Linked DNA regions of Mus musculus: regions 1, 3 and 4 are each reported to be linked to region 2. The links are microRNA targets in miRTarBase. Many come from high-throughput screens and were not tested one by one. Region 2 holds a microRNA gene; each other region holds the end of a gene's coding sequence.

What was found. Region 2 holds the annotated microRNA mmu-miR-883a-3p (UAACUGCAACAGCUCUCAGUAU, at 4,208-4,229, shown strand). A microRNA usually pairs through its seed, bases 2 to 8, with sites in the 3' UTR of a target mRNA and lowers its output. Matches are read on the target gene's strand: a 7mer-m8 pairs with bases 2 to 8, a 7mer-A1 pairs with bases 2 to 7 and ends in A, and an 8mer does both.
Region 1: the mRNA of Rbm39 is a reported target of mmu-miR-883a-3p. Seed matches in the 3' UTR shown: 7mer-A1 at 6,720-6,726.
Region 3: the mRNA of Zbtb41 is a reported target of mmu-miR-883a-3p. Seed matches in the 3' UTR shown: 7mer-m8 at 5,289-5,295 and 7mer-m8 at 3,508-3,514.
Region 4: the mRNA of Rad52 is a reported target of mmu-miR-883a-3p. Seed matches in the 3' UTR shown: 7mer-m8 at 1,132-1,138.

Annotation. Positions count from the first base shown.
Region 1 is chr2:156,141,021-156,148,726 of GRCm38, forward strand. It overlaps Rbm39 (RNA binding motif protein 39), which reads right to left. Exons shown (of 17, transcript NM_001291114.1): 16 at 7,265-7,343; 17 at 6,219-7,171. The coding sequence ends at 7,071. It overlaps Nfs1 (nitrogen fixation gene 1 (S. cerevisiae)), which reads right to left and starts at 3,166. Exons shown (of 13, transcript NM_010911.2): 1 at 3,000-3,166; 2 at 2,347-2,438; 3 at 1,106-1,222. The coding sequence starts at 3,120. Romo1 (reactive oxygen species modulator 1) reads left to right here and starts at 3,133. Exons shown (of 3, transcript NM_001164216.1): 1 at 3,133-3,260; 2 at 3,439-3,569; 3 at 4,582-4,774. The coding sequence starts at 3,439. The coding sequence ends at 4,690.
Region 2 is chrX:66,777,233-66,784,996 of GRCm38, reverse strand. It overlaps Mir883a (microRNA 883a), which reads left to right and starts at 4,164; the gene lies at 4,164-4,239. It overlaps Mir742 (microRNA 742), which reads left to right and starts at 4,560; the gene lies at 4,560-4,624. Mir743b (microRNA 743b) reads left to right here and starts at 7,665; the gene lies at 7,665-7,741. It also overlaps the pseudogene Gm14681.
Region 3 is chr1:139,446,503-139,454,266 of GRCm38, reverse strand. It overlaps Zbtb41 (zinc finger and BTB domain containing 41), which reads right to left. Exons shown (of 11, transcript NM_172643.5): 11 at 1,260-7,392. The coding sequence ends at 6,737. It also overlaps a transcript of Aspm not described here. Among named protein-coding and RNA genes, the nearest start is that of Aspm, 4.4 kb to the left of the region's middle.
Region 4 is chr6:119,921,447-119,929,210 of GRCm38, forward strand. It overlaps Rad52 (RAD52 homolog, DNA repair protein), which reads left to right. Exons shown (of 12, transcript NM_001166381.1): 12 at 1,026-1,377. The coding sequence ends at 1,087. Wnk1 (WNK lysine deficient protein kinase 1) reads right to left here. Exons shown (of 28, transcript NM_001199084.1): 27 at 5,601-5,788; 28 at 2,523-5,241. The coding sequence ends at 4,924. Among named protein-coding and RNA genes, the nearest start is that of Rad52, 23 kb to the left of the region's middle.

The sequences.
Region 1 (7,706 bases), not on the chromosome of region 2:
GATGGCTCAGTGGGCAAGAGCACCCGACTGCTCTTCCGAAGGTCCAGAGTTCAAATCCCAGCAACCACATGGTGGCTCACAACCATCTGTAACGAGAGATCTGACTCCCTCTTCTGTAGTGTCTGAAGACAGCTACAATGTACTTACATATAATAAATAAATAAATCTTAAAAAAAAAAGAATAACTGATGTGTGTATGTTTTCTCTTATTTATTTATTTATTTATTTATTTATTTATTTATTTATTTATTTATTTACTAAGACAGGGTTTCTCTGTGTGGCCTTGGCTGTCCTGGAACTCACTCTGTAGACCAGGCTGGCCTCAAACTCAGAAATCCGCCTGCCTCTGCCTCCCAGGTGCTGGGATTAAAGGCATGCGCTACCATCACCTGGCTCTTTTTTAAAAAGATTTATTTATTTATTTTAAATATGTGAGTACACTGTTGCTCTCTTCAGACACACCAGAATTGGGCATTGGACCCCATTACAGACAGTTGTGAGCCACCATGTTGTTGCTGAGAACTGAACTCAGGACCTCTGGAAGAGAAGTCAGTGCTCTTAACGGCTGAGCCAACTCTCCAGCTCGTGGTGTGTGTGGTTTCCTATTCCTGGATGTGAGATAGGTTCTGGGCCGTGTACACAGGTGTAACCAGCCAAGAACATAAAGTGGTGTAGACAAAACTACACATACCACGGAGATTTAAGGGATCAAATTCAAGTCATTGTGTTAAGGTACCCATGGACATGTCCCATTGACCCGCGAAATGCATTTTTAAAAATGTATTTATTGAACTCTTTCCACATGTGTTTTGAGTTATGCACAAGTGTTAACCTTACGAGCACTGCCTCATTTAATTTCCCCAATAATCTTATACAGCATGAACTATTTCACTTTCCACTTGGTAGATGAGGAGTTCAAGGCTTAGAGAAATGAGCGGATTTGTCAGAGGTCACCTAGGGAAGCTGGGAACTAATTAAACACTTAGTGTCAAATTCCAGAGCTACTACCTGAGTCTCTTCTAGAAAAACAGCTATTTCCATCTGTAAGAAAGAAATAGGTCACATAGACCACTGACTGGAACTCCTCACAGTCCTTCGTGCTAACCTGGCGAGCACGTTCCATGGCTGCCTCGCTCTCCCAGCCATATGCATGAGTCCGAGAATGAGGGTTCCCATAGTAGTTGACAAGGTATGGGAGCATGGCATCAAGCACTCTGGGATCCTGAACAGAAGAAAACAGAGCCCAAAGTCAATTCAGAACCTGCTCGAGCCACCATTACCTGCCAACCTTGCTCAGTGCATTTCCAACCTTTCAGATACTCTCTGCTTTCTTCCACTTCTCAGACACTAATCAAATAGCAACCTGATATATGCCCACTTCAAACTGCAATGTTCTGCAATTCCCACAAGTCTTTCTTTAATTTTTTCATTTACTTATTGAAAGATAAGGTCTTATGTAGTTGAATCTGACCTCATATTTATAAGCCTGCCAGGTTGCCCACTTCAAACTGCAATGTTCTGCAATTCCCACAAGTCTTTCTTTAATTTTTTCATTTACTTATTGAAAGATAAGGTCTTATGTAGTTGAATCTGACCTCATATTTATAAGCCTGCCAGGTGTGCTGATACACACTTTTCTTTTCTTTTTTCTTTTTGGGTTTTTTGAGACAGGGTTTCTCTGTATAGCCCTGGCTGTCCTGGAACTCACTTTGTAGACCAGGCTGGCCTTGAACTCGGAAATCTGCCAGCCTCTGCCCCCGCCCCCCATGCTGGGATTAAAGGCATGTGCCACCAATGCCTGGCACATTTAACAAACAAACAAACAAACAAACAAAAGTTTGAGGGGGCTGGAGAGATGGCTCAGCAGTTAAAGAGCACTGACTGCTCTCCCAGAGGTCCCGAGTTCAATTCCCAGCAACCACATGGTGGCTCACAACCATCTGTAATGGAATCTGATGCCCTCTTCTGGAGTGTCTGAGCATAGCTACAGTGTCCTTGTGTATATATAAAATTAAAAACAAAACAAAATAACAACATAGGTTTGAAACTCCCTATGTGGCTTAGGCTGGTCTTAAGCTCACTCAAACTACCCATGCCACACTGTCCAGCTCCAACACCCGAGCAATTACTATTAGTTATAATGCCTGTACTGGAAGGATCTGACAGGGTCAGTAGCTAAAAAACAGTAAAGCCTTTTCTACTAAACTAACATCTTAGCCTCCTGATTCCTGGCAGCTCCTTTTCCTAGCACATTTAATAGTTCTCAAGTCGGATGAATTTTAGCCTGTCGGTGAAATTTGTCCTTCTAACCTTTCCTCCCTACAAAGAACCTCTGTTAGTCCTTACCAGAGGAGTGGTGGCCTGTACGTCCATGTAGAGAGGTCGCAGCACTGCCTCTGCCTCTGAGTGAACAGGCGAATGGGGGCCATGATCTACAACTAACAACAGATAGCAGTGGCAAAGTGAGAAACCGTGGACGAAGGGCACACAAAACAACAGATGGTCAAAGCTTCTTTGAGGTGAATTTAAGGAAGGCGGAGGTCCAGTGTCAAAGTAAACAAACAACAACACGCGCTGAAAGACATCGAGTTAAGTAATAGACACAGGGTTCTTGGAAAGGGCGCGGGCAGCAGCAGTCGGGGGCAATGTTTAAACTACATAGCACCGAGTGGGACGAGCTGTAAAAAGCAAAGCCATTTAGAAGAAAAGTGAAAAGCGCAGGTTCCTTCAAAGGTTCACGGCAGGAGGAAGCTCATCTAGCATCTTTAAGACTTGGTCAGGAGAGAACTGAAGGATGAGAATTCCGCTCAAGGGAAGTGCGGAGCAGTATGTAAGGGCCCTCCCGAAAACAAATAGGAGACCGGGCGACGGGAAGGTTTAAGAGACTGGGCGATGGAACAAGGCGGGTAGGATCCGCAATAATGCAGTGCTTAGCAGCACCGACCCAAGGGGGTTCGCTCCTCCAGAAACCGTGGGAACGAAAAGGAAAGGGAACGTACCGCGCAGGCGCAGTCCCCGGGTGGGCACCGAGGACCTTCCCAGGGCCAAGGAGGTAGCCGCCAACGACGCCCGCCTCCAAGCGGCTCGCAGCAGCATGTTCCCAGCCACAGAGCCCACCATCCGCGGCGCTTGCAAGTCCTCAGCCCATGCTCCCGGAAGTAACTGCGCTGTGCTCCGGAAGCGATCCCACGGACCGCGAGCGCCCTCCGCCTAGCATTCGGAGTGAGACGTCGAGCTGAGCGATCGCAGCGGAGAACGAGGTGAGGTGGGGCCCGACAGTGGCCTGCGTCGCGCGTGCGGGGTCCTCCATCGCGAGGGTGGTGGAGGCGTGCCGCGGGCTGGCTTCTGACCCGGGTGCTATGTGACCCTGCTGTGCGTCCCCTGGCCGACGCCACGGCTGGTGACCAGGCCCTCACTGTCCTAGCACTCTCGCCGCAGATGCCGGTGGCCGTGGGTCCCTACGGGCAGTCCCAGCCCAGCTGCTTCGACCGCGTGAAGATGGGCTTCGTCATGGGTTGCGCAGTGGGTATGGCGGCCGGGGCGCTGTTCGGCACCTTCTCCTGTCTCAGGTGAGCCTCGCGGACAGAACTTCCTGCCTTCCGAGGGCTCCAGAGCCCACTCAGACGAGGTTGAAAGCACAGGATTTACGGATCTGAGTTCTAAAGTCAAAATGGCTTTCTGACTCCTTTGTTAGTTCAGTGTTATTGAGTTTAGTGGAGTACTGGACACTTACCTCCACTTTTGTAAGAGCCAATCATATTAGTATGATTTACATTATCTGGCACGTCGTAATTACTTAGCGAAGGGTTATTATTGTTGCATGGCGTTTTAACTCCCAACTGCATGTAATGAAGCAAGCCTGATGAGAATTAGGTGTAGTGAAATATTCTACCTCTGAGATAAACTGCTATCACATTTGGATACTGTGCTTATAAATTACTATTTACCCAGCACTAGTTTAATTGTAGTGCTAAGTACTGTAGTTAACCACCGAGCATTAGCTGTGAGCACCTTAAATCCACCAGCACTCTGGACGGAGTGGCAGATTCCTGAGTTCGATACTAGCCTGGTATATAAATGTGAGTTCCAGACAGCCAGGGCTGTTACACAGAGAAACCGTCTCAAAATAAATAATAATAATAATAAATAATAAATTAAAAAGTGTAGTTACCGAGTCTGTAATGTCCATTTTACACTTTATGCAGTTTATAAATTGCAGCGCTTGACTCAATCTAGGTTAAACAAAACAAAACACTAAGGAATTATCTAGAAGAAAACTGGCTACTCAATGATAAAATACCATAGAGGCACAAACACGACTGCTTTCTTGCCCATGTACTTCATTATCTCTGCATCTACAAACTAATGCAGCATTCAGCACAGGTCCTAGAGACCCTAGATAGATATTTTCCTTGTCATTGCTAATCCTATGTGGGGAAGAGTAGCATTTTAAGAATGACAAATGAGATTGTCAAGCTGTTAGTGCTTAATATATTCAACAGATTTTAAAGGGGGGTACTTAGTTCAAATCTCTATTCCTGTAATTGTATTCCCAAATTGCTTTCTTGGTTTCCTCCTCAGGATCGGAATGCGGGGTCGGGAGCTAATGGGCGGCATTGGGAAAACCATGATGCAGAGTGGCGGCACGTTTGGCACTTTCATGGCCATTGGAATGGGCATACGATGCTAATTAGGGCTAGGATGCCCTGCAATACCTAAACTTCCCCATCCATTTCGACCCTTGTACAATAATAAAGTTGTTTTCTTCTCGTTATATCAGTCTATTTTTACCTAGTATTTATCCTAGACCCAAAGGTTTGGTAGTCCCAGTACCCATCTCAATGGTGACCCAAAATTGTTTCATTCTAACTATGATCTGTCTTCTGGAGACAAATAACCAAATCTCTACCCAGGCTTGTTGATACACACACTTTATCCAAACACTCTGAAGATGGAGACTCGTCGTTAAACCTGTCCAGCATACCAATTAAATAAACTTTAGTTGCTTACTAACAGGTATCCTGTTAACAGCACATTGTATGAGATTGTCTAGTTCAGAAAAACATCACCAGCCTCAGCATTGAACATTTTAATTATCTAGGTTGCTAACAAAATTCCTTACAGGAATTTTTGTTACCTTACCCCTGTGATGGCCAAGAATACAAACCTGATTAGCCTTGGTGAGTTTTTCTGGTTGATCTTCAGAATGTCATTAGGTAATAACAACTGACAATTCAAAACGCTTTACTGAACATCTTATTCAAGAAACAATTTTGTTATTTTTCTCTTGATACATCTAGGATGTAAGATATATTGGTTGGCAAGCTTTAGACACCCAAGTAGGTCATACTTTATTTTTTTTGAATTCATAATTAAGTTCCCTTGTTCCAATCCACAGCCTCCTACAGTTGCTATCTGCTAAAAGGCTAAATAATTCATTACAATGCATATTGTGCCAATTGATTGAAAGACGGGGCAGTACTTGGCTTCACTTCGTAGCACCTGTTGTACAAACTATAAGCTCACTTCCAGAGGACCTCCACAAGTACCAAGCATGTATGTGGTATACATATATCCAGGAACAATGTTTATAGACATTGTTCATAAAGAAAACATTGAAATTGTTTTTTAAACATAGGGATATTAGAAACAAGAAGGAGCTGAGTTTGAGGACATCCTCCTGGTTTGTGACCAGCTTTTAACAGTCAAGACTTTAGGAAACCTCGGTGTCAAAAGAAAAGAGAAGAATGAGGTAGTGAAGACTTCAGCATTTTAAGGAGTAACTGGGGACCAGGAAGTAGTTTGAGGTGCTATTTTTGTCGAGTTAGGAATGGTAGTGCTTATGTATTTTTTTGTGACTTTGTAAACTATAGAGCTAAAGACAATGATAAACACGTAGAGAAGGATGAGAGCATTTTCAAGGGGCAACTTGTTTTCTTCAGTGGAGAGGACATACTTGGTAGTAGTGGTATTAGACAACCAACAGTGATGTCTATCACTAAGAATGAAATAAGCTTAGTCTAGGCATGTATGCTGACACACACAGCTCCCCTTTCCGAGCAGCCCAGAGGTTAGGAGAGTAACATATTCAGTCTTTGGTAGATCTGAGGCATGTAATGCTGAAACACTAACTTGAAAAAAAGAAGGAAAGAAACCCAAAGGATATTGTGATAGCCTTTGCTTAAGTTTGTAACATGAAAACATTTGAAAAACGAAAATTTTCTTGTGGCCTTTTTCAGAGAATTTTATTTGAGTGGTTCTTACAAAGATTGTTGCAATATGAAAGTCATTTGTTTGATAGAAATATCAAGCTGTCTTGTCAAACACACTGAAGTAACCCAAAAATATATTTCAGAGCTCACAGAGCTTAAAAAGAGCAAAGATTATATGCAACCAGACAAAACCTTTTTCTGCATTTCCCATCTCTTGCCCAAGACTGCTTACTCAATCTGTTACGTCAGCCACCTTGAGGAAATGCAGGGATCATTTTGTTTGGAATCTCAAGACACACTAAAACATACAGTATTTACAAAGAAACTTTTACAGAGACATTAATTGAAAAAATTACCATCGAGAAATATTATTTTGAAATCCCATTCTTGCCAAATAATCAAGATCAAATGCCAAGCAGCCATACAGCCACTTAGACTTTTCACACACTAAATGTGGATTCTGGAAACCTTTGCTGAACCATGAGCCAAATACATGAATGTGAATTGTAACTGCTGTGTAAAAAGTTAGGTTTCTGAAACATTAAAACGTGACCTGTCTGCCTTTATACAGAAAGCACATTTGTTCCCCTAGAGCTATTCTATAGATCCTTAATGTCATTTTCTACATGGACATTTAAAACAGCAGAACAAGAGAACAGCTTTGCATAAAGTAGGATTTGCTAGTTAGGGATAATGAGCACACTGCATTCCTGTTAACATTTTTATTTTTCAAGGTAACAGGAGTTGTATACAAATGACAGTAGACCCTTGCCTCTTTATTTTATCTAAATAAAAGATAACTCAAGATGAATTCTCAAGAGAAAAAAAAGCTATATACATAAGGGACTGTATCTTCCTTCATCGTCTACTTGGAACCAGTAGTTGTGTTGCTGTCATAGAATCAGGAAAGAGGTTGTGGTAAGTTGGAAGAGGTACATACGCTGCTGTTATCATTTTACCTGTTGACAAAAAGAAAAAAGTTGGGTAAGCAGTTTTTACTCAATGTTAATCACTTGGTGTTTCAACATAAAGTCTTCGTAGCAGTTACTCACCAGCAAACCATCTGCCATGCAATGCATTGACAGCAGCAATAGCCGCAGCAATAGATGGGCACTTCACATACACATTGCCCTAAAATTATCAAAAGAAAAATTAATTAAAATAATCACTGATCACATACTCTCAAAAGTATATCCTAGATGTTTGCAGAAATGTTCTTTAGAAACTATTAATTCTAATAGCTTATGGTAAATACCCCAAATGTTTTTGAAAACTAGTATCTTCTCATTGATCTTTTCACCCTATATTCCCCAGGCCCCAAAGAGTAAAGAGTAAAGAAGCTGTTAAGAGTTCCAGGGTTCATGATGCAAATTAGCTCATCAGTTAACACTACTCTCATCAAATATTCATTATTTTGAACTTGCCTTTGTTTTGTAGCTGGTTATTTAGCTAGCACATATAAGTCACTTTCAGGAAATAAACACTAAGAAAGCA
Region 2 (7,764 bases):
GAAATAACACACAATCCCGGAAACTTTTGTTCACATCCCTGCTGAGTTATTTGTCATAATACATCTAGTTGTATCTGGACAAGATCTATGAGTTGATTAACCAGCATGAGACCTCTCTGTACTGGGCCAAATAAGTTCATTTGCTCATTAATGGCTCTGAGGTCATGGAGCAGTCTCCACTTTCCTGACTTTTTCTTAATTACAAAAATTGGAGTATTCCAAGGTGAGGTAGAGGGTTCAATATGGCCTAATTTTAATTGTTCCTCTACCAGTTGAATCACAGCTTCTAGTTTTTCAGAGGATAGGTGCCATTGAGGAACCCACACTGGGTCCCCTGTTTTCCATGGTATGGGTCGTGCTGCCCCAATGGCCGCTATGGAAAACCCAGACCCTGTCTGTCTTGGTTTCCATTAGGTAAGATAGGCTCTATCCTTCCCTGTTCTTGATGTCCTAACCCTTTTCCTTCTTTATAACCCATCTTTGCCATGATATTTTTTGCTTTAGTTGAATACCCTCCCGATGGGGCGTTTTCATTGGACAAAATAAGGCCCAAATGCTGCATAATATCCCTTCCCCAGAGGTTAACCGGGAGTGGGAGCACATAAGGTATGAATTTCCCTTGCTGCCCTTCAGAGGATTCCCATGTCAAGGCAACAGAGCTTATAGTGGGACATGATTGATATCCTAGGCCCTGTAATGAATGAAATGACTCTGTGGTGGGCCATGCTTTGGGCCACCAATGTATAGAGATTATACTTTTATCTGCTCCGGTATCAAGGATGCCTTTAAACTCTTTTCCGTTGATCTTAAGGCGGAGCTTAGGTCTATCATTCAAAGATACAACCAAATAGGCAGAATCATTTCTGGAGGAGCCCATTTTCTTTATCTCAGGTCCTGCAAATTTCTCCCTGGTATTATCAGGGAGGAGCAGCAGCTGAGCCATCCTATCTCCTTTGCTAATAGAAAAAACGCCTTTGGGGCTTGAGCACAGGACCTGTATTTCAGGGGAATGTTGACAATCCATAACTCCAGGGTGGACTACTAAGCCCTGCAAGGTGAGTGAACCCCGGCCGAGAATAAGGCCCATGGTTCCCGGGGGCAAGGATGGTATAGGCTCCACCGGCACCGGCTGAATACTCATTTGAGGCATTAGTAGGAAGTCGGAGGCGGCACGCAGGTCCACCCTTGTGGGTCTTCCTGGGTCGCCTCTCTGACTGCTTCCTGGGTCCTGACAAACCGGTTCCCATATCTTTGAGGGCCCTGGGACCGAGGGCCCAATGACCCGTTTTTTGGCACATAAGCTGATTGACTATCAGGTGGGGGAAGAATTCTGCCCTTTATATCCCTCACAGAGCGACACTGGTCAGCTCTATGATAACCCTTGCCACACTTAGAGCAAAGAGTGAGGGTTCCCCGCTTTTTATCTGGAGCTCTGCAATCTTTCTTAAGATGCCCAGGCTTTCTGCAGTTAAAACATGTCCTCCGATCATTTCTGCCCATGGAGCATTTTTGGGATTGAAGGATGGCAGCCGCTAAGCCTGCATTGCTGAGAGGTCTAAAGGTCCCTGGTTCGATCCCGGGTTTCAGCACCAATTCTTATTAACGCGTTCTCACGACCGGCCAGGAAAGACGCAACAAACCAGAATCTTCTGCGGCAAAGCTTTATTGCTTACATCTTCAGGAGCCAGAGTGCAAGAGAGCAAGCAAGCAAATGGCGAAACCCCATCCCTTTTTAAGGAGAATTATCCTCCACCTAGGATGTAGTACTTCCTGATTGGCTGCAGCCCATCGGCCCAGTTGTCATCACGGGAAAGGCAGAACACATGGTGGGAAAACTGCCCCTGCATGTGTGCAGACTATGTTTACCACTTAGAACACAGCTGTCAGTGCCATCTTATAATGGCAAATGTGAGGGCGGCTCCTCACACAAGGTGAAGTTTTGCTTCTAGCACAGTCTCTACAAAGATTGATTTATAGATAAATAATACTTAAATTTGGTCTTATCATGTTTTTTATTTATATCTCATGTTGCCTCCCTTACAGTCCCTCTTCCATTGCCCCTCATCCAGGCTCATCAAGTCTGCATAATTAGGATAATCCTCTCCTACAGAGGCAGGACAAGGCTGACCTCTGCTACATATGTGCCAGGGGTCTTTGTCCAACCGATGTATGCTCATTGGTTGGTGAAAAAGTCTCCAGTAGCTTCCAGTGGTCCAGGTTAGTAGACATATTTGGTTTTCCTATGGTGTTCCTGTTGCCTTCAGGCCCTTCAGTCCTTTCCCCAACTTGTCCATAAGTCGTCTGAAACCTCTGTTCAATGTTTGGTTGTGGGACTCTACATCTATTCACTTAGCTTCTGGTTGGAACTTCTCAAGGCATAACAGAGTTTGCAAGCATAACAGAGTATCATTAATAATGTCAGAGATTGGTGTTTTTTCATTTGATGGATCTCACTTTGGACGAGTTATTGGTTGGCCATTCCTTCAGTCTCTGATCTATCTTTGTCCCTGCATTTCTTTTAGACAGGACAAATTTTGAGATTCCATCTTACACAAATCAGCATAGCTAAGATAAAAAACTGATGCAACAGCAGATGCTGGCAAGGATGTGGAGAAGAAAGAAGAACATTCCTCCATTGCTGGTGGGATTGCAATCTTGAAGACCCATTCTGGAAATCAATCTGGTGTTTTTTCAAAAAAATTGTAAATAGTTCTACCTGAAGATTCAGCAATACTGCAACCCAGATATTCTTCACCTGAAGAATAGATAGAGAAAATGTATTTCATTTACACAGTGGAATACTACTCAGCTATTAAGAGGGAGGACATCCTGAGTTTTGCAGTCAAATGGATGGAACTAGAAAATATCCTGAGTGAGATAACCCAGACAGAAAAGAACATGCATGGTATGTACATACTTATACCCATGACATACGCCCACAGACCCTAAGAAGTTAAACAAGAAGGAAGGCCCAATTGAAGATGCTTGAATCACACTTAAAAAGGGTAACAGAACTGTCATGGGAGGCAGAGGGAGCAATGTGGGTATGTGAGGGGGATATGTTTGCAGGATCAGGTGTGGGAAGGGAAAAGAAAGAGGCCCATAGGCCCAGGAGAATGAATGGAAATCTCTATCTTGCAGGGGACTTACGGGTGGAGGTAATCTCTAAGCAGACCCTGAGACCTAGGATAGGGAAGGCTCCCAGGAGCCATTGTGTGTGACCTTAGCTGAGATGCCTAACAATGTGGACATGGAACCTGAAGAGGCCACCTCCTATAAACAGGCAGGACCTCCTGTGAAAGATAAGGACACGAACCCACCCATAAAACTTTTGACCTAAAATCCACATTTTTTAAATTATATTTTTATTAATCCTTTACAATTTCATATTCACTTTGGTCATAATTATAATTAAGTTTGATAAAAGAATATGTTTTGTTGTGATCATCATTTCTCTTTAAGTTAGGGTAGTGACAGGTTTTTATGTGAAATGTACATGCAAAATCAATTGGATTTTCAATATCATCAGCTTAAGTGTGAAATCAAACATTTACAGACACAGTTTAGTGGGGGTGTGTTTAATTGTGAAGATTGTGATAAAAGCTGTTGGATGAAATTGTTGTTGTTGAGATGAAGTACAAAGGATCAGTCTATGCTATCTCAAAGTACAGATTAATACATACTGAAGCCTTCATTTGATATATTCTCTTGATGCTGATGACTAAATCATTGCAGGTATCTTGAGGTCTTGCCTTGTTCATTTGTTATTCTTTGGTGTCACCTGACCTATATATTTATAAGAATATTTGTCTTGTTAATTCTATTTTTGTTTTGTTTTGTTTTGTTTTTTTGAGACAGGGTTTCTCTGTTGACCAGGCTGGCCTTAAACGAACTCAGAAATCCGCCTGCCTCTGCCTTCCGAGTGATGGGATTCACGCCCGGCTATGACTTGTTAATTCTTAACCTCTTGAATTCATACAGATTCGAGGAGTATCAAGAAAGAAGCAAGTCTGATACCTTGAAATGGAGATGGAAGATAATGGAAAATATGATTATACTTCCTGAGGAATTATGTGTAAAGAAATAACATTGCATTCATGTCATACTGAGAAGAATCATGAAAGTTGTTTTTGAAGTCAGCTGATAATAATAATAATTCGTGTGCACTATAATGCTGAGAGAAGTAGCAGTTACTTTATTCTATAAGTAACTGCAACAGCTCTCAGTATTGTAAGGCTCAACAAACGCAGGGATGGTAGCCATATGGTCATATTATGCCTTCATAGAGAAGATAAATGTACTGATTCTGGATTATACTTCATCCATCTTCATGATATCTTCAGATCTATAACCATAGAGAAGAGAACGGTTGTAGAACTTTAGAAGTATACTAAGAAAAATCCTAATGGTGGAACATGAGAAGACAGCTTCGAAGAAGAATGTGTGGTTAAAAAAAAAAAGTAATTATTGTTGACGACTTACTTCAATGTTCTATTCAATTTTATTTCACATGTTGAAATAAAGACTTCAGATGGGCTGGTTCTAGAGTACCTGGGCAGTGCTCTACTCACATGGTTGCTAATCACGTGAAGTGTAGGTGAAAGCCACCATGCTGGGTAAAGTAAAGCTCATCATGTTCTTCATTTGTTGTGGCCTTGGGTAGTAAAGATGAAGAAACTATACATCCTTATTATGGCTCCAGAATCTGCTTCCTTGTACCTGAAGAAACTATGCTCTCATTTTTTTTTTAAGTTTAAATGTTGTGGAAGTTAGCATTATTCTAGCTTGCACAGAACCCAAATTATACAAATTATAAGAACAGAAAATTGCATGCCAGTCTCAATAGGGATCATGAATATAAATATCAGAAATAAAACCAATCAATGATTTCAGGCCCAACTGAATATCAATTCAAATATCTTGTGACAACTTAGATGATGAGTGCACGAAAGTGGACTGAAAAGCTACAAGTAATTAGAGTCTTCCTTTATAAATATGGCCCTAAGTGAAAAAGAACCAAACAGATTTAAATTCAAGTCACTGAAATTATGATGGTATCAGTGATTTGAATTTAAATAGACCAAGTTCCTATCTTCTGTATTCTGTAACTTTCTCCAGTAATTGAACAGCGATATACAGGTACAATTGTGTTGTATTCTCATCCTATGCTCCCAATATTCTGATTCTTTTAGAAGATTTTCATTACCTAGTTTTTAAAAGTCATTTGCAAAGTATATCACTGATTAATCTTAAAGTCACACTGGCTATCTGGCTATAGGTCAAGAGGTCTTCCTTTATCATGCAAGGTGACAAAGTATATTTTGTATTCCCAAACAGTTGAAAATAAATAAATCAATGTTAATATGTCATGCTGTAATTGGTGAAGTGATGAAAACTGCTTGGGATGATTAGCCTACATGGATGATACCTCCATATCTTCATGCTTTATGTTATATCTCACTCAAGAAGCTGTTAGACAGTTGGACTACCGACAAATCTTCCAGGTAAAGTACTGCTCTTTAATTCAGTTATTTTTGATAGGTTCTAGGTAGTATTAGTGCTTTCCATGTAAGATCACTGATAATGGTTTTCAGGATGATCACAAAGCCTTACTATACAATTGTGTGTATCTTTTTAATCACTTTCATGGGACAGCATTCAAGCATCTATGTTAGGTAAGGAAAAGGAGAACAAGGTGCTAAAATTAAGAATTATGCTTTCATAAAAAGAAAATGAGGTACACTGTGTTAATGAAAGACTAAACACAGAAACGGTTTGAGTCTTTGTTGCCCCATATCCTTACTTTTTCAACATAGTGTAGACTATCCATGTTTCACCTCATGGGTACTTTCAAAATAGAGAATGTAAAGAAAGAAGATAATCTAAAGAAAAAAAAAATAATTTCCTTCCCAGTAATTAAATAAAGTTAAAGGACTTTTATCTCTCTGATCCAGAAGTGGTAGAGATAGAAAGTGAAGGAGAGTATATATATTCCCTAAGAACTTGAGTTAAGGACTCCTGAAACTTCTTGGTAATGCAAGAGTCAGATGAGATGATATGTCTCCATTCATTTTGGTGTGTGCATTGTGATATAGGACAGATACCAGTCACTTTCTACTAACCTCTCTCAATATAAGGATACAGAAAAAAGTAAAACTTGATGAAGATGATGAGGACGATGATGAGGATGATGAGGATGATGATGATGATGATTTTGATGAAGAGGAAACTGAAGAAAAGGTCCCAGTGAAGAAATCTGTACGAGATACCCCAGCCAAAAATGCACAAAAATCAAACCAAAATGGAAAAGACTTAAAACCGTCAACACCGAGATCAAAGGGTCAAGAGTCCTTCAAAAAACAGGAAAAGACTCCTAAAACACCAAAAGGACCTAGTTCTGTAGAAGACATTAAGGCAAAAATGCAAGCAAGTATAGAAAAAGGCGGTTCTCTTCCCAAAGTGGAAGCCAAGTTCATTAATTATGTGAAGAATTGTTTCCGGATGACTGACCAGGAGGCTATTCAAGATCTCTGGCAGTGGAGGAAGTCTCTTTAAGAAAAGGGTTTAAACAGTTTAAACAGTTTGGGGTATCTCTCTCAATATAAGGATACTCATAAAGTACTGTCATTGTAAATGTAAGAACATAGATGCACATGCAAGAGTATTTTCTGATTCTAAGATCGATTGTAGCTACCTTCACAGGACATTGTTTAGGTGAAGATATAGGGGGAACCTTTCATCTAATTCCTATTTCTCATAGGTGAAAATATTTAAAATTAGGGACATAGCACTATGGAAAATAAGTTTAGTTTCATTTTAATTTTTAAGTGCTTTTTAAATTAAAATATTTTATAATTCTCCCCTTTCGTTTCTTCCCTTCAGCCACTCTAATCAACTAACCCCTTTGTTCTCTCTCTCATTCATGCCCTGCTTAGTCCATATTTTGAAAGTTTTATGTATGTTATTTCAGTGCTGACCATGGAAAAGCAGTTGGTGGGCTCTTCTCTGCTGAGTACTATTTCTCCTGAAAGCTTTTTAGTGTCAATCCCTATACACATTAATGTCAGTGAGACTTAAGTGCGTGTACACATGGTCTCTCAGAGTGAGTAATGTTCAACAAGCTCCTTACTTTGTATACCCTGGACCTTATACTTCGTCTTCAAAGGCATCCTTGAGATTGCTACCATTTTCATCATTTCTCATTTAAAGCCCCACTTTTTTAGACTTAAAAGGTGCTTAAGGTTGTACACATGCCTCAAAATGGTCAGAGAGTGCAATTATAAAAGTAATATGTTTATTATTAATGGATATTTAATATCAGCAAAATGAGATAAAAAATTGGGATCACAACATTCAGAAGGAGAAATGAAAGGTGAAGGATTTTGTCATTTCCTGGACCTGTGAATAAAGAAATCTAGTGTTCACCTATCACACTAGACTACAAGAATTGATGAAGGCTCATGAAAACTAGTATATACTGTATTTATCTTCACAGCATACATCCTCAAGGTGAATTTAGACAGGATCCTCAAATATGATGGTTATTACTACATGGTAGAGAAAAAAAGATGAAGCATCAGTCATACTGATGCAAAGCATGCAACTAGTACTTAACTTTTTGTCCAGGACACTGAAATAGGAGTGGGAGAGGGCAGTATGTTGTGTGCAGTGCTGTGTTCAGACTGGTGTCCATCATGTGAAATATTTGTGAAAGACATCATGCTGAATAGAGTAAGGCCCATGATATTCTTCATTTATTATGCC
Region 3 (7,764 bases), not on the chromosome of region 2:
ATGTCTTTGTGACCATTGTGTAAAATAGTTGTATGGAGAAATACAGCACTGGTTTCCAACCAACCAAAAATGAGTACTGCCAGCATCTGAGGCTATACCAGGGTTCCCTATTGCCTTAGCACACGTCTAATGTTTCTCCTATGTATTTGAAAAGTGCCTCTAATTGGCTTTGTTTTGTTTTGTTTTGTTTTTCCCGAGACAGGGTTTCTCTGTATAGCGCTGACTGTCCTGGAACTCACTCTGTAGACCAGGCTGTCCTGGAACTCAGAAATCCGCCTGCCTCTGCCTCCCAAGTGCTGGGATTAAAGGCGTGCACTACCACGTCCGGTTGCCTCTAAGTATTGTAAAAACAACAACAAAACAAAAACAAGACCATCATTGACTTGTTACGACCTTGGAACATCGAACTTGGAATAAATTATATCTGTGTCCATTGGCCATGGTCTTTCATATGTGACCTCTGAATAAACACTCTCTTAAACGGGACCAGGCTGAGTTTTCATTTTGTGCCTACAAACAATGCTGTACAGTTAATGTGATTTCTTTTTAGTAACTTGTGTGGTTTACCAACATTGTGTCACTATGTCAGAAAGTTCCACAGTGATTGTCACACATTACCAGTTAGCCAAGAAATATTTATATAAACCAAGTCTTCCTATCTGACATGTCTGTTCAGAACTAACCACCTTTATACGTTTCCTTGGCTGACCAGAGATGTAATGAGCTGGTAGCATGTTGTTGGGCTGTTTTGTGTTTTTTAGACATGATCTCTCTTTGTGATTATAACCAATAGTGATGGCACATTGAAGACTGGAACAGAAATGGAGCTTGTTAGGTTGGGGTGAGATCCTGTAGAGTTATTAACATTTTACAGCAAGCCTTCCCCCCAAAACCAGAACGAAGAATTGCAGAAATGAGGGGAGGGGGAGGAATGCCCACTTTTAGTATTTTATAGGATATAGTTTTTCAGTAATAGAATTTTGCTACACTTTAAAATTCCCCAAAAGCAATATGACTACTTCAAAGTTATCTCTATCTAATACTTGAAAATATATATAAAAAAATTAAGGCCGATTCAACTATGTATTTAATATATATTTAAGATATTTTAAATAATTTGTAATTTATTAAAATCATGTTTCAAAACGTTCCCAAGATACTTGGTTTTGCCTTTGTTCATCATTTTTACGTTTTATATAGAGACTTGCAGAACATTGTGACCCCACGCTGAAAGTGTAATGTGAAAAGAACCTGGGTGTGCTTTACTAGGACCAAAGAACTGTTTATTTTAAATATCAAAATAACATAAGGAACTAATTTAATATGCAAGACCTCATCTACTCCTCACAAGGAACTGAATTTTTGCTATACATTTATATTTAAGGAACACGAGACAAACAAAATATCTACTAAACTTAAGACATTTGTCATACAGTGAAAAATAATGAATTTTGATATTTTAGATTTTCCTTTGTAATTGCTTTTAAAACTGTCCTTAATTAAAAACAAAGATTCTGATTAGAGACAGAAAACAAAAGCATTTCTATTTCAATATATACCATTTCTCCCTTAAATAGAACAGTTATGACAGAACACAGAGCAGCTAAACACCTAGCTTTTGGCAATCACCCTCATCAACTGTTAATAGTTACAAGGAGAAAAGTCGGATTGTTAAAAGGATAAAGTTCAGTAATCACACCACAGTACATTATTCAACTTTATACAAGCAGGAATATCAAACAGAGAGGCATAGTGACAATGAGATGTACACATGCTCTTCATTCAAGAGACGTTTCAGAATCTCCGGCAGTAATGCAAATTTTGAAATTGCTTAGCTTTACTTGAGAATTCAGAAGGTTTTCATCTTTAAGTAACATTTGTTCTCCAAATAACATCTTTAAATTCTCTTTAAATAAGTGGCTTGGGGATCTTTCAAAGATCACAGACTTAAGACCAATATACAGTAAGTTAAAACACGAATAAGTCGAACGTAAGCACACCCTCCTTGCCAAATCACCGTCTTCTCATCTCCCACACAATCAATCTAATCCTATTGCTTTTGTAATAATAACCCACTTCCAAAGAGGAAGCGCAAGACATGCTGATAACACAAGGGAAAGTATTGTAAGTAAAAATGTTATAAGAAACATGGAAAGACACCAAAAAAGAACACACAGAGATTACTAAAAGGAAAACAGGCAAAAGAAATGAGTGGGATATGCAGAATTGTCAAGTTCCTATAAGCTGTGTAGAAAATTACTCTCAATTCATTACTCACACTAATAGTAGGTAACATTTAACATAATTCCACTTAAAAATTAAGAAACAGTACTTATTCCTTATTAAATTATTCATTTTCAGTCTTTTGAAATTTGGCACTAAATATGTCCAAACATGACTGTTGAAAAGTCGTGCTTTTTCCTGAGTCATCAACTCAAGTTCAATGTTGACTAGGATGCCGCCGCTCACTAACAGCAGCTCTTCTTACACCACCAACCACGTTCAGTTCAAGGAAAGTGAACTAAGTCTCCGGTGCAGAGCTGTGTGTTCCTGGTAACAAGTTCCTTAAGGGGAGAGCAGTCAGAGAGAAAGAGTAACAAGAGGAGCAGACATACAATTCCTTCTCTCCGATTCTGCTCAACATCTAGACAGGCTGAGGAGTGACTCCATAGCTATAAAGGCCACAGTACAAACTTAAAAGAAGACATGTAAATTATAATAAAGACCGATGTCCACACTACTGCGAAATGCCAATTTTCCTAAGTTAATATAACATGTAAAAGGCTATTGCCCAGCCAGCAGGCAACAGGGATATTAAGACTCAGAACCAAAAAATAAAACAAAATGAACAAGTCATTTATTTACCAGTACAATCTAGGCAACAGAGAAAATGCTACACAACTACACATCTCTGAAAAAGTACAAAGTATTCAAATTCAGAAAAGATGGTCTAAAAGGACACTCTTAACTAATGTTCAAACCTCTTGATAAATAATAAATTAGAGTGATATTGTAGGAAGAACACTCAAGCTCATAGACACAGCAGGTTAGTTGTGTTTAGGTAACTTGTGATTGAGTGAGAAAGCAATAGGTGGAACAGATTAGCCCTTAATACTTTACAGTCACTCCAAAAAGGTGTTTTTTGACACTTTTTAAGGTTGAAAGAAAGCAGTGTACTTCTTTTATGCTACCATCATTAAAAGGCAGTCAGTTTATTAAAGCACCAGTTTAAATGGTATTTTTATTCCTCTTTGCCCAGCAGAAAGGCTCTAGATTAAGCCTGCAAACTTTACTACTTTTATAATAGCTTAAAGGTATCTTGCTGGCATGAGGAAGAAACCCTATGGTTACGTAGTATTTTAGGCTGTCAAAACCAAAGGGATTTCTTATAAAAATAACCTCGATTTGATCTAAAAAACAAACAAACAAAAAACCTCTAAGGCAGAAATTATTTTTATAATGTAGTGTAAAATATAAGATTATTGAATAGTGTTCATTTAAAAAAAAAACTGCATTCAACTAAACTGAGAGAAATGAGTATTCTCACTTGTAACTGGTTGGTCAGTATGAATGTTCCCAGAGTACTTTCCTCTACTTATTTTATACACATAAACACAAACATTTAATACTTAATCTTAGTATTCAAACTAACAATTTTTAAAATTCAGTATCCAAGGACGTCAGCTGTGCTTCTTTGGACAAATATATAGTCAAACAACAAAGAATTTAAATTCTTTTCAACTACTCAATACCTACTCAAAATCTTTGGTGCATTAAGTCAGTGACAGTAAGTTAATAAATTTCTGCACTCAATAACTTATTCAATTTACAGATTAAGTGCTAACGTATCTACCAAAATTAATTTAAAACAATAAATTATACCCACAAAATATTCACAATGAGGCTAAACGTACGTGTGAGATTCAAAATTTTAACCATAGTTACAAAATAATGATTTTAGAGTCATAAAAAGGACAACTAAGAAGAGTAGGGTCTATTTTATAATTTTTGTGCTAACTTAAAATATTTATACATTCAGTTTTCTCAAATCCATGTTCTTACATTTTTGGAAACTAGAGGGAACAGTAATCTTTTCATTATTATGGGTTTCCTCATTTCTTCCTAAATATTCTACTGTCTACCTGCAGACTGCGTTAGGAACTGGAGAACACAGTCCTGCACATAGTAAGCCTTTTTAATGCCATGTGTCTCCTCCTTCCACTCAAGGCAGTTCTGGCATGAGAGTAGAGTCAAATGACTCTAAATGACTCTCAGTATCTCTCTAAAATGGAAATACATCATTTCCTTTCTATTTCAAAATTGCTTACTAGGTTCAAATGAGATAACATGAAAATGGTTTAAATAACAGACACTATTTCAGCTTTTCTACAATAATAGCTAAGTACAATTATAAAATTGTATGCCACTTTACATAAGAGCTATATTCTTCAAAAGTCCTATGTAAACCAATTACTAAAATTAAGTCATATATTTAAAGTGTTAGAATATCATTATTGAAAGAACCTTAAATACCTTCAAAACCCAAGGTAATATTTCCACTGTGAAAATGCTGTATCCTCCTTTTCTGTCAGAATATACAATTCATCATGCACATAAACACATATATAACATTTGCCTTTTCTGATAAACCCAAAATTTTCTACATTAGCTTATCTCTAAAGCAAAGTACATTTCTAAGTATGATGTTTTCATTTCAGTAAGATAGTTAGAAATCTTCTCTGCCTTTGGATAGAAATCACAAATCTGTACTCTTGACAATGATTTATAAGTCCAGGACTCATAGTGCTCAGACTCTACTCAGTTATCAGTGCCCACAGAACACTTCCACACTAAGTAAGAAGACTTTAGCAATAATAATACAAAATTAAGTTCACTAGTCCAAAGACAATTACAACAACCAAACTTTGATAAGTGAGGCAAAACTCAGGTTATCTTTATTATTTATATTAGCTACTTTGGTTAATGCCTCAATTTGCAACATGCTCTTTGAACATTAATATGGCAACTGTTCCTATAAAGTACCTTCATTTCTTAAGTGCTTAAACAGTTTCCTCCTTTTTGATTACATTTTATTCACTAGAAGTTTATTATTTTATTTGTGATATGTTTTCAAAACCCACAAGGGCCAAGCAAAACGTTACAGTTTACACACACACACACATACACGCACACACGCACACACAAAAGTGCTAAAAGCAATTAGGAGTGTAAACAAATTGAAATAGAAAAGTTTTGACAACTGCTATTTTTCCAGTAGTTTCCATACAAACTGCATGTTAACAGTGAGCCAACCCTACCTGTCTTAAGCATCAGCAACCCCACAAGGAAAAACTCATCCTATATTAAGATGAAATTGAGTTGAAAATAATGCAAAGTGCACATCTCTAAAGATATTTCGTAATTCTGGAAGATTTTGTCCTTCACTTAAACTTAATCTGTGAAGCGCTGCTGTAAATCCTATTTTCTTTCACCAAGACTTCAACCACTGCCTCATCCAGAAACAATGAAGAATAGAGACAAATCTCATACAGAAGCAAAAAGAAAGATCTGGTTTAAGTGTCAATCTATACACCAACAGTAGTGCACTCAGCTGAAGAGCATCCTGTTAAGTTAGGGCGGATTTGAGAATGGGTTTGGCACCTTTTCTGATAACTACACGTAAAATATCTAGGTTCTGTTTCCCTGCTTCAGTCAGCCAAATGTGGTAAATGAAATGCTAACTCCATTGTGTAACTGAACTGCCATCACTTTAGTTACACTTGTCCCTTCCTTCCTTACTCATCTGTAGATACTGACACATACTGGGAACGAGGAGGAAGTGCCCAAATACAAAATGCCAATGTACATTGATGATATGTAGGTGAAACTGACAGTTTTTCATTACGATATACTCAATTAGATAATTTAATGTCTAGAGCTAAGTTTGTATTTATTACTTATCATAGTTGAGTACAGGTCCAATCATCTGGATTAAAATAACAACCTTATATTTCATTTAGCATGCTAATCCTGTAATTGTGAGCTCTTGGATTTTGGCTTGTGAAAAACCCAAATATACTGACAAAAAGAATGGATAGATGACAACCTCAAAGTATCAAGATTTTCTTACAAAAATATGTAAGAAATTTCAATAAGTTTCTAAACTCAACTTTGAAAATCTGAACAAAATATTTAATTAGTATTAAAATTTTGCCAATATTGACATATGTTTACATTCCTTCCTATAGGCTACATGGTTCTTAAAACTTCATAGCAATATGGGAAACGGACAAAACAGATGATTAAAAGTAAAACCTTGGCTTGGGGCTCACACCTGTAATCCTAGCAACTGGTTGGCTAAGGCAGAAAGTCTATCACAAATTGAGGCTACCTGGGCTACAAACTAAGACCCTGTCTCAAAAAAAACAAACAAACAAAAAATTCCACTGATGATTAAAAAAAATACCTCCACCATTGTCAGCAGCTAATAATCTGAAATTTAAAAATTTCAAAATTAGTACTAATGATTTTTTTTTAAAAAATCATACTTCAAATATGTCAAAATGTGTCCAAGTATTCAGTCAATAGAAATAAACTTTTCTTGATTTGAAGCTGTTCTGAAGACTTGAGAAATTAGGGGAAAAAGATGGGGGAAAAAATAGCAGCCCTACTAATTCAAAAGCCATTAGCTTCTGGCTGTCAGCTTACAGCATTAAAAGGCCTATGGAATGGTTACTCATGAACGATGCTCACTACTGCACATATTCTGGACAGCAGCTGTGCTATCAAGGCCCAGTAATGTCCCGAGATAAGATGGTTCTCTAGGATCTAGCATCTGTTCGGGTCGGACGGGATGAACTATATTTGCAGGCTGAGGAGTAAGAGTGTATTTTTCCAGAAATGCTAAGTCTGCTGCACGAGGATAATCAGTTGACTGTGGCTGTGGTGGCAGCATCTCATGGGACGATGTGGGAAGTGTGGTGGTATGAGGCACCAGATCGCTGGATGTGTCAGGCATTTGAACTGGGACCAATGTTACTGGAACACATACTTCTGCAGACACGTTCTGTAGCATAGTCTTGGCTTCCGACTGATAAACTTTGGGCTGGTCCAGATACTGTTTTGTTTCTGCTTGAAAGATCTTATCATCAGATGAGTACTCCATTGGCAAAGACATGAGTTTTTCCTCAGAAGTACTGAGAGAATCATCAGGAGATTTTATCCCATGAACATGGTCAATGTGGTACTTCAGCTTATCTTTCCGCTTAAATGTTGCATTGCAATGTTGACAATTGAAAGGCCGGGCATCAGAGTGAATAACCAGGTGTTTTGTTAAAGTTTTCTTAATTCTAAACGACTGATTGCAAATTTGACACTTGTATGGTTTTTCACCTGTATGGACAAATATAAAATTAATATATAATGTACCCACTTGATAAGCTGGCAAATATTAAGTAGCAAATTTATCACATGCATACCTGTAAAAACAGTAGTGTTTTATGCTATCATAAATGAAGACAGTCTATCAAACTCATAAAATTAATGAATTAAAAACATCAAAATGATCTGGGCTTCAGGCCTGGATAAACCTTTTACTAGCCAAACCTCTAAGCCTGGTTCCCCTCCTGCAATGTAGAACAAGAACAGTTCCTACATAAGGAAATAAACTTAAGTAAATAGGACTAACTAGCTGCTCAGTCCTATTCTCCGGATAATGTTCAGTGCTTGCTTGGTAAGCCTTATCACTATTGCTTTATTACTACT
Region 4 (7,764 bases), not on the chromosome of region 2:
GCCAGCCTGAGCTCTATGAGGTATAGATATGCCTCATAAAAGATGAAGTCTGTGGGCTGGGTATTTAGTCCAACCAATGGTATAACACTTACCTAGTATGTTGTAAGGCCTTGTGTTCAATCGGGCCAGTAAGGAATACATACATATTAAGATCCTGTCTCAAAAGGAGAAAAAAAAAAAAAAAAAAAAAAAAAAAAGCTGGGCAGAGTCCTTTACCTGAGCAGTTCAGGTAAAGATAGTGGTTTGATACAGGGGAACACCAGGGCCAAAAAGGGGGAGTGGGTGGGCAGGGGAGTGGGGGTGGGTGGATATGGGGGACTTTTGGTATAGCATTGGAAATGTAAATGAGTTAAATACCTAATAAAAAATGGAAAAAAAAAAAAGATAGTGGTTTGAGCTTTGGACTCTGGACATCATGGCTAGATCTGTTTAGATCTAGAATGTGGTGTGTCCAACATGAGACTTGGGAAAGTTATGAGTGTTTGCATTGACAAAGTTACAAACTTAATTATTTTTGTAACTTGATTGCATGGCTCTTGAGCTGCAAACTTTGATGATAGTGTTTTATAATGTCAAAATGTTGGACACACTACTTGTCCTGATTGCATTTAGATCACTTCTTCCTCAAGGTAGATATGTCATAATGAGAATGACACCACAATGGTCACTCATTGTGTGTTGTCTAAATGAGGGTTGTTGGCCAATACAGTCCAGAAATGACTACATCCCAATCACAGCCCCCCGCCCCCCAGTCCCTCTCCTTCTCAGAGCCTAAGGGAAGCCTCCCTTGGGTACCACCTCTTCCTGGGACTTCTAGCAGGACTAGGCAAATTAGGAGTCCTAATCAGGCAGTCCAGTTAGGGGAAGAGGATGCAATAGCAGGCAACCGTGAGACAGGCCCTATTCTAGTTGTTAGGGGACCCACATGAAGACCAAGCTGCACGTCTGCTATAAAAATGTTGTGGTGGGGGGGGGGCTACTGTTTAAAGTCAAGGCTGCTGTATTTAAACCATTATCTTCTACAGAAGACTCTGAACCTCATAGGAAGAGCCAGGACCTGAAGAAAAGGAAACTAGATCCATCCTGAGACTCAAGATGTCACTAGACCGTCACAAAAGGACTTTGGAAAACTGCAGTTTGGTCACAAAATTGTTCCACCTTGGCTCATGCTGAACTCTTTAGAGGACTATAGAGGAAGCTAACTACTTAAAAAGGTTGTCATACCCCATGATGGGAAGGAGGCCAACAGATAAACTTTGTTCAGTATTACTCACTCCTAAGCTGATTCTAGGACCTTGCAGGCTGCCTTTCATTTAACGATGTTGCCCACCAAGCCCCAGCATGACTGTTACCTACATTAAATTATGTGTGACCTCATCTTTCCTTTGGCTTCAGGTTTTTAATGTTTTCCACTAAGCATTGCTATGAACAAGGTCATGTTGTCGGTTCAGGATCACATGCGGATCCATGGAGGAGTCTCCCTTTATCCAGAGATGTGCCAACACTTAAAACGGGGTGCTTAAGGCACTGGATTAGTTGGCATTCTTTTTAGTAGGTTTTTTCCTTTGGAGATGATTTTTTTTCATGTAGTCCTGGAACTTGCTTTTTAGACCAAGCTGCCTTGAACCTGTCCTCTCCCTCCTGAGTGCTGGGATTAAAGGTGTGCACCATCACACCTGGCTCCTATTAGTTCTGCTGTTAGTGTTTTTTTGAGCCATCAAGTAATGTTTGAACACTGACACTGGCAGAATTGGTGTAACTTACAATTGAGATTACTGGTAGTTTAGGCTTCTTGCATGGCTGTACTTGGCAAAGGCATAGTTAGGGTAAGATTCTTATCATACTACATGAATAGTGCACCATTTTAAAGAATTGTTTTCTCTGGCTGAAGAGCCTTTGAGTGAAAAGCCATGGGTTGTTGGGAAGCCATAATTTCTCACTTAAAGAAGGGTGGAATTGGCTACACAGAGAAACCCTGTTTCGAAAAAACAAAACAAAAGAAGAAGGGTGGAATCATGATCCATATGGTTTCTGGGAATTGAACTCAGGATATTTGGATGAGAAACTACTTAGCTGTCTCCCTAGGAATAGGTGTTTTAAGGAAGTAACTGTTCTTTAACTATACCACACCCAAAGTTTCATGATTCTTTTCAAAGGAACAATGAACTTCCAATTCTACTTAAGCTGAATTTAGGGTTATGCTATGAGGGAATTGGTGAGTCCCTGGGACCAGGCACAGGCTTGGTGAGAAAGAAGTGCCTCTAGCCCCTGTGCCTAGTCTTGAAGCAGGGACAAGATCTGTTGGTGAGAAACTGAGACCTATGTCAGACGCTGTTGACTGACAGCAGTTTGCAATAATTTCCCTGCCATCTAACAGCTGTTGCTTTGCCTTTTCCTGAGGACTAGCAACAGACTCCTTGGAGAAGTGCCACTTTCACCCTTAACAGCACGATTTTAGTTATAAATGGTAGGGCCAGTGAGGACAAAAGGGTTTTTTGTTTGTCAGAAAGAACAACCCACAGTTCAACAAAAGCAAGTTTGGTTTATTTGAATGGTTTCATTAAATAAGTCTACAAAGGTAACAAACTGAAGCACAAAGCGCAATCTTACAGAAGCGCAGCCCCCGGAGTTAGTGCAAATGTACAGGTAACGGCTGCTGAGAAACCCCAAGGTTTGAATTCAGTTTTAAACAGTGTACATTGTTAAATAACGTAAGGAAAACATTTATAATTCGGAAAGTTCTTTTTAAATGTGGAAAGATACTCAAAGTGTACTATTAACACAAAAATAATTTAAACAGTTCAGTAGCACTAGCTCGTTTCTCTAGGCTTCAGTTATTTCATCCACAGGAGGGGGAAACCAACAGTAAGTAAACCTCTGTGAAGGGGGAACAGACCTCACTCAGAATGACTAAACCAAACACCACATGCTGCATTTGGCTCCCTCTACTGCTGGTATGAAGCACTCAGTCATCCTGTAACCTGCTTCACTCCCACAGTACCTCTTACCGCTCCCAAAAGGAATAAATGAGTCAACACTTTGGTAGCACGACCTGAAACAAAAGCCCTGCTCATTACACTTCCCTCTCCTGAAACTTTCAGCTCTCACTTGTATCTTTGGGCCTCGACCAACTTAAAAAGAACAAGACTCTTACAGGAAGAAGCCTTGCTAGTGTGGCAACTCCTGGGATGTGTCATAAAGTTGGAAATGTGTCAGTTCCCAACTCAAGGTGAAGGAGGAAGCACCCAAGAAATGAGTTCTACTTTTTCCACTTTTCCAGAATATTCAGATCCCAAACAGCCAATTAGGTCCCTATTGCCAGAAAATCAGATAATACTGGTTGGTTGCTGTTATTTGGGGATATGGGTATGAAAATGTGAGAGTATTAGCTCTAATATAGAAGTACAGGCAGCACAATAGATTCTGACTGTGCAACCATTTGGACAGCTAGGAAAGGAAATAAGCACTTTTTCCTACAATGCTTAGAAAGTTAGAAGTGGGTTGAATTCCCACAATACAGTACTTAAAGCAGAGAAAGTGTGGTGGTACTTGTGCAACAAGAGGTGGGGGCAACCGAGCAGGTTTCCTTAGAGCAACATTTTCCATCTGTGACTTGGCACTGTCATCCTTCCCAACTTAAAATCTAGCCCACTCCCCTCTTTTTGTTTAATCTCTTCTAGATCTCGTTTGTTCACTGGCCAAGCATCACTTCAAACAAGCTTGTCCCCACATCTTCAGTCCTTATCTTTCACACACAGCTCACAACCCTCCTCATTCTTTCTGAAACAGAACTTTGTTTTCAACCACTGATGCCAACTTCACTGTGCTCACCTTACACCTGCTCTAGGCAAAATTGAAACGACTGAGAAAACAAAACAAAACAAAACAAAATAATAAACCAAACCAAAACCAAAAACACTTTCATTTTCCCTTTGGCATATCCACTGCTGGGGTCATGTGGACCTAAGATTTCTTTCCACATACCCTTTGGTGACCTGGGGTCTGGTAAGTTGATGCTAACAGCAGAAGCAATAGAAGTCCAAGGCACTAAAATATCCAGCAAGCAATACTGGGAGAACAGAAGTATTCAAGTACAGTAATTTATACAATTTTACATTCACATTTATTTATCTAATACAATGGAAATACAAAGGAAAAAGTTAAAGTGTCTTAATAAGTAAAGGACAGAGCTAGCTTTTGTGTGTGTGTGAACCTTTTAAACCTTTCAAATTTTTCTCTTAAAACTAATGTTGTCCAACAACATTTATATATCACAGTGTTTCCACATCAAAACTGATGGCAAAGTTACATGTCCGCAGGGAACGTTATTGTTTTCCCTAATTGCTAATGCTGCAGTCAAAGCTGCTAATATCTTTTGCTTAAAGCATTAATGACCTATGTAAGAAAGGGTTGCAACCCCAGTCCCCTGGTATTTTTCACTAGGTTGTAAAAGGGGGGGAAAAAGTGGGGGTAGGGATCAGAGTGGGAGAGAACCTTTGTCTTAAGGTGTGCATTGTTGAGGGAATAAGGAATTTGGGACACATGTCAAAATTAAAGAGCTCTGCCCACTTACAGATACAGATCGGGTTTGGCTTACATTGAGCTCTTGGGGCTTTCTGGTAACAAGGTTCTCTTCTAGTTCTAGGCCTTACTGAGGGGTACAAAAACAGAAAAGCAGTCTCAAGCAGCCCCTCCACCAGAAAGCTGTTCATTCCTTCTTTTTTAACTCCAACAAACGGAGAAGGAGGGTGGTTCTCCATTCTGAGGGCTCAAAATGGTATTAAAAACATTCCCTTCTGGCAAGAAATAACCAGTTAAATGCAGCACTAGTAGTTAGTATATAGGCTACTTCCCCACCCCCCCACCCCCCCAGCATTCCATTTCCTGCCCCCAAATCTACTCAGTTAACATCCTTGCTGCTGACTAGGTGGTCCGTAGATTGGAACCTGGGGGGTTGCTGATGGACTTCTGCAAATTGCTGATGTTGAAATTTTGCAAGGATGCTGTTCCTACAGGTTGGAACTGGCCAAGTGGCTGCGGTGCTGGACCACCTGTTCCACTCCACTGAGTGCCAAATGGGGCAGGTGGAAAACCATACTGCTGTGGGGGACACATGGATTTGGTGAAGTGACCTAGAGAGGTAGCAGATGCTGCAGAGATGGGGGTAGAGCCACCCAGGTTTGAGGTCATGGGAACACACAGCTGCCCAGGAGCAGAGAACTTCCTTGCCATTCCAGGGCCCTAAAAACAAGAAAGTAGCAATGAGAATTTGATGAAAAATGGGTGATACTATAATGCTGTTGTAGAGCTGAGATGTTCTAATCTTAGCATTATCAAAATATAACGAAGCCGCCCATATTTATTGGCTTTACCCTTAACAAGGAGGAGTGAAAAGTAGGATCTGAGATGTGTTTTATGTGCACATGCAGGTAGTGCAGGATGTTGAAGAAAAAGGGTACCAAAATGATTGCTGCCTTGTTTTCTCAATAATAGAATCCACAGGCTACTGAAGATGGTAGTGGTAAGGATGGCATACCAGCCTTGGCTGTCCATGACATGTCTGTGTATAGTCTGGCAGGTTAGGAAAAGGGAAGACTCACCTCATAATTCATGTGTCCTTTGCTGCCTCTCCTGCCTGAAAGATTCATGGCATCTCGGGCCCAGTTGTCTACTAACTTGTGCAGGTCATCTGTGAATGTGCCCTTCCTACTGGAAGTCATAGCAGGAGGCTGAGCCTGGGCAGCCTGGCTACTCACTGTTCCTCCAACGGTATTTGTGCTGCTGGTCCCTAGAATTATAAGTAACACAATATTAGCATTAAAGTAGGGTTCTGGGATATAACTTTGGGGAAAGGGGAAAATGTCATAGGGTAATGATTGGCAAGCCACGGAATGGGGAGAATATTTGGGAAGCCATGCAGGAGAGGAAGATTTTGAAGTATTACTTATCCATTTGCTTTTGCACAACAGGTAGTGAAAATGGTTTCTCTTCCACAGCTTGTAGATAAGGCTAAACAACATGGAGTGATGGCAGGCATGAAGGGAAGGGCATTTTCTAACACTGGGACTGTCTGCCAGTATTCTATTCCCAGCAACATACTGATGAGGGAGTGATATGGTCCACGGGGCTGGCTGCTATGGAACTTTGAAGAGAGCAGGGCCAAAGAAGTACTGTGCACTGGGCAAGTTATATAGTACAAAGGCAGAGATCAGGGCTTCTGTGGAAAAGATGGGGTTTCCAGACAGCATGTATGCTGTGGCATTCGTTCTTTAGATGCTCTTCAAACAAATAGAAATAAGGAGATGCTACATGCTTTGTTTAAAAGTTTTCACCTGAAACCATAAACATAAATTTGAAAATATAAATTTGGAAGGAGTCGAGGCTTCAACTCCTCTCTATGTCCCATGAATAAAGAACTGAGTTTTGGCAGCAGCAGAAATGCCTGAAATTCTCAGCTCCATGAAGTTATGACTTCTTGAGGACTTGGGTTTTAACTGGTCAAGGATTCTCATCCCTTCTCCCCATTCTTCCCAACAGAAGAAGCACTCCTGGGTTGAAGCAACAGGAAAATGCAGCTGAGGCAGGGGTGCAGAGGGGAGAGAAGGCATAGAGGTTATGATGAAGGATTTCTATTTCTATGGTTTGATGAAAAAGAAAGGAGGAGTCTGTGTCCTGCCTGATTTCGGTTCAGCTGGAGGGCACACTGAAGGTTATTCGTAGAGGCAAGTTTTAGGGAAGAGGGAAAGAAGAGTCATGGTCTTATTTTTGGTTTTTATCCCCCACTTAATTAGTAGACTTTACATTTACTACACAGTAAATAAAGGTTACTAATGTTGTGAGCCAGAAGGTCCTACCATACTCAAGGAACTCTGGGACTAAATGCATGCGTTTTCCTGCTTTTAAATGCCAAAGCAGCACACCAGAGCACAGCAGCACACCTGAAGCAACCCTACTGCAATCCACTGTTGGTACCAAAGGGTGTATCTATTTTACCACAAAGGGAATGTCTCTAGCTAAAAGCATGTCTGTGCTAGAGGAAAGCTAACTTGGGTAAAGGTGCAGAATAAGGATGCTCACATGCTTCTTTGGTTGCTGTGGCAAGACATGAATTGTTGCAGTCACATGGTGCCTGCTAAAACTGCAGAGGATTGTTACTATACAGTGTAAAGGTAGAGTAATTCACCTACAGTATAGGAAACCAAGTGGGAAAGTATAAAAGCACAGGAAACAGCCTTCCTTGAATAGCAAGTGTGGGACAAAGGTGCAGTGGGAAGGAAGCACAGGCTGTGAGATGGGCAGTTACAACAGTGAGGAAACCCAGAAAGCAGGCATGTGGCATGCACGAGGACTAGCATCCTGCTAGATGACAGGCCAGATGATCGAAACAATAAAAATATCCACAAGTGAGCAGAGCTGTCGATGCCAGATGAGAAGCCAAGGCAGGGTGAGCACTGCTTGTCAGAGAGCTCATGCCAGAGGTGACACTTCTCTAGTCTCATGCTCTTGATGTTGTGAGGGCCTTTAAAACTAAACACCATTCATTTTAGTCTATATTCCTCAATACTGTATTCTAAAAATGAGCTTTACCGTACATGTGAGCGTCACCCTACAGTTAGCTTTTTATTGTAGTTTCTGACTATAAAGTAGGATTAACAGGCTTTCTGCGGTGTGGTTACTTTAAAATGTTTTCAGTTCCCTGAAAGCTTTATAAAATATGATAGATTTTATTTCCTTAAATTCATCTTCTAAGTTTCTCCTATCCCT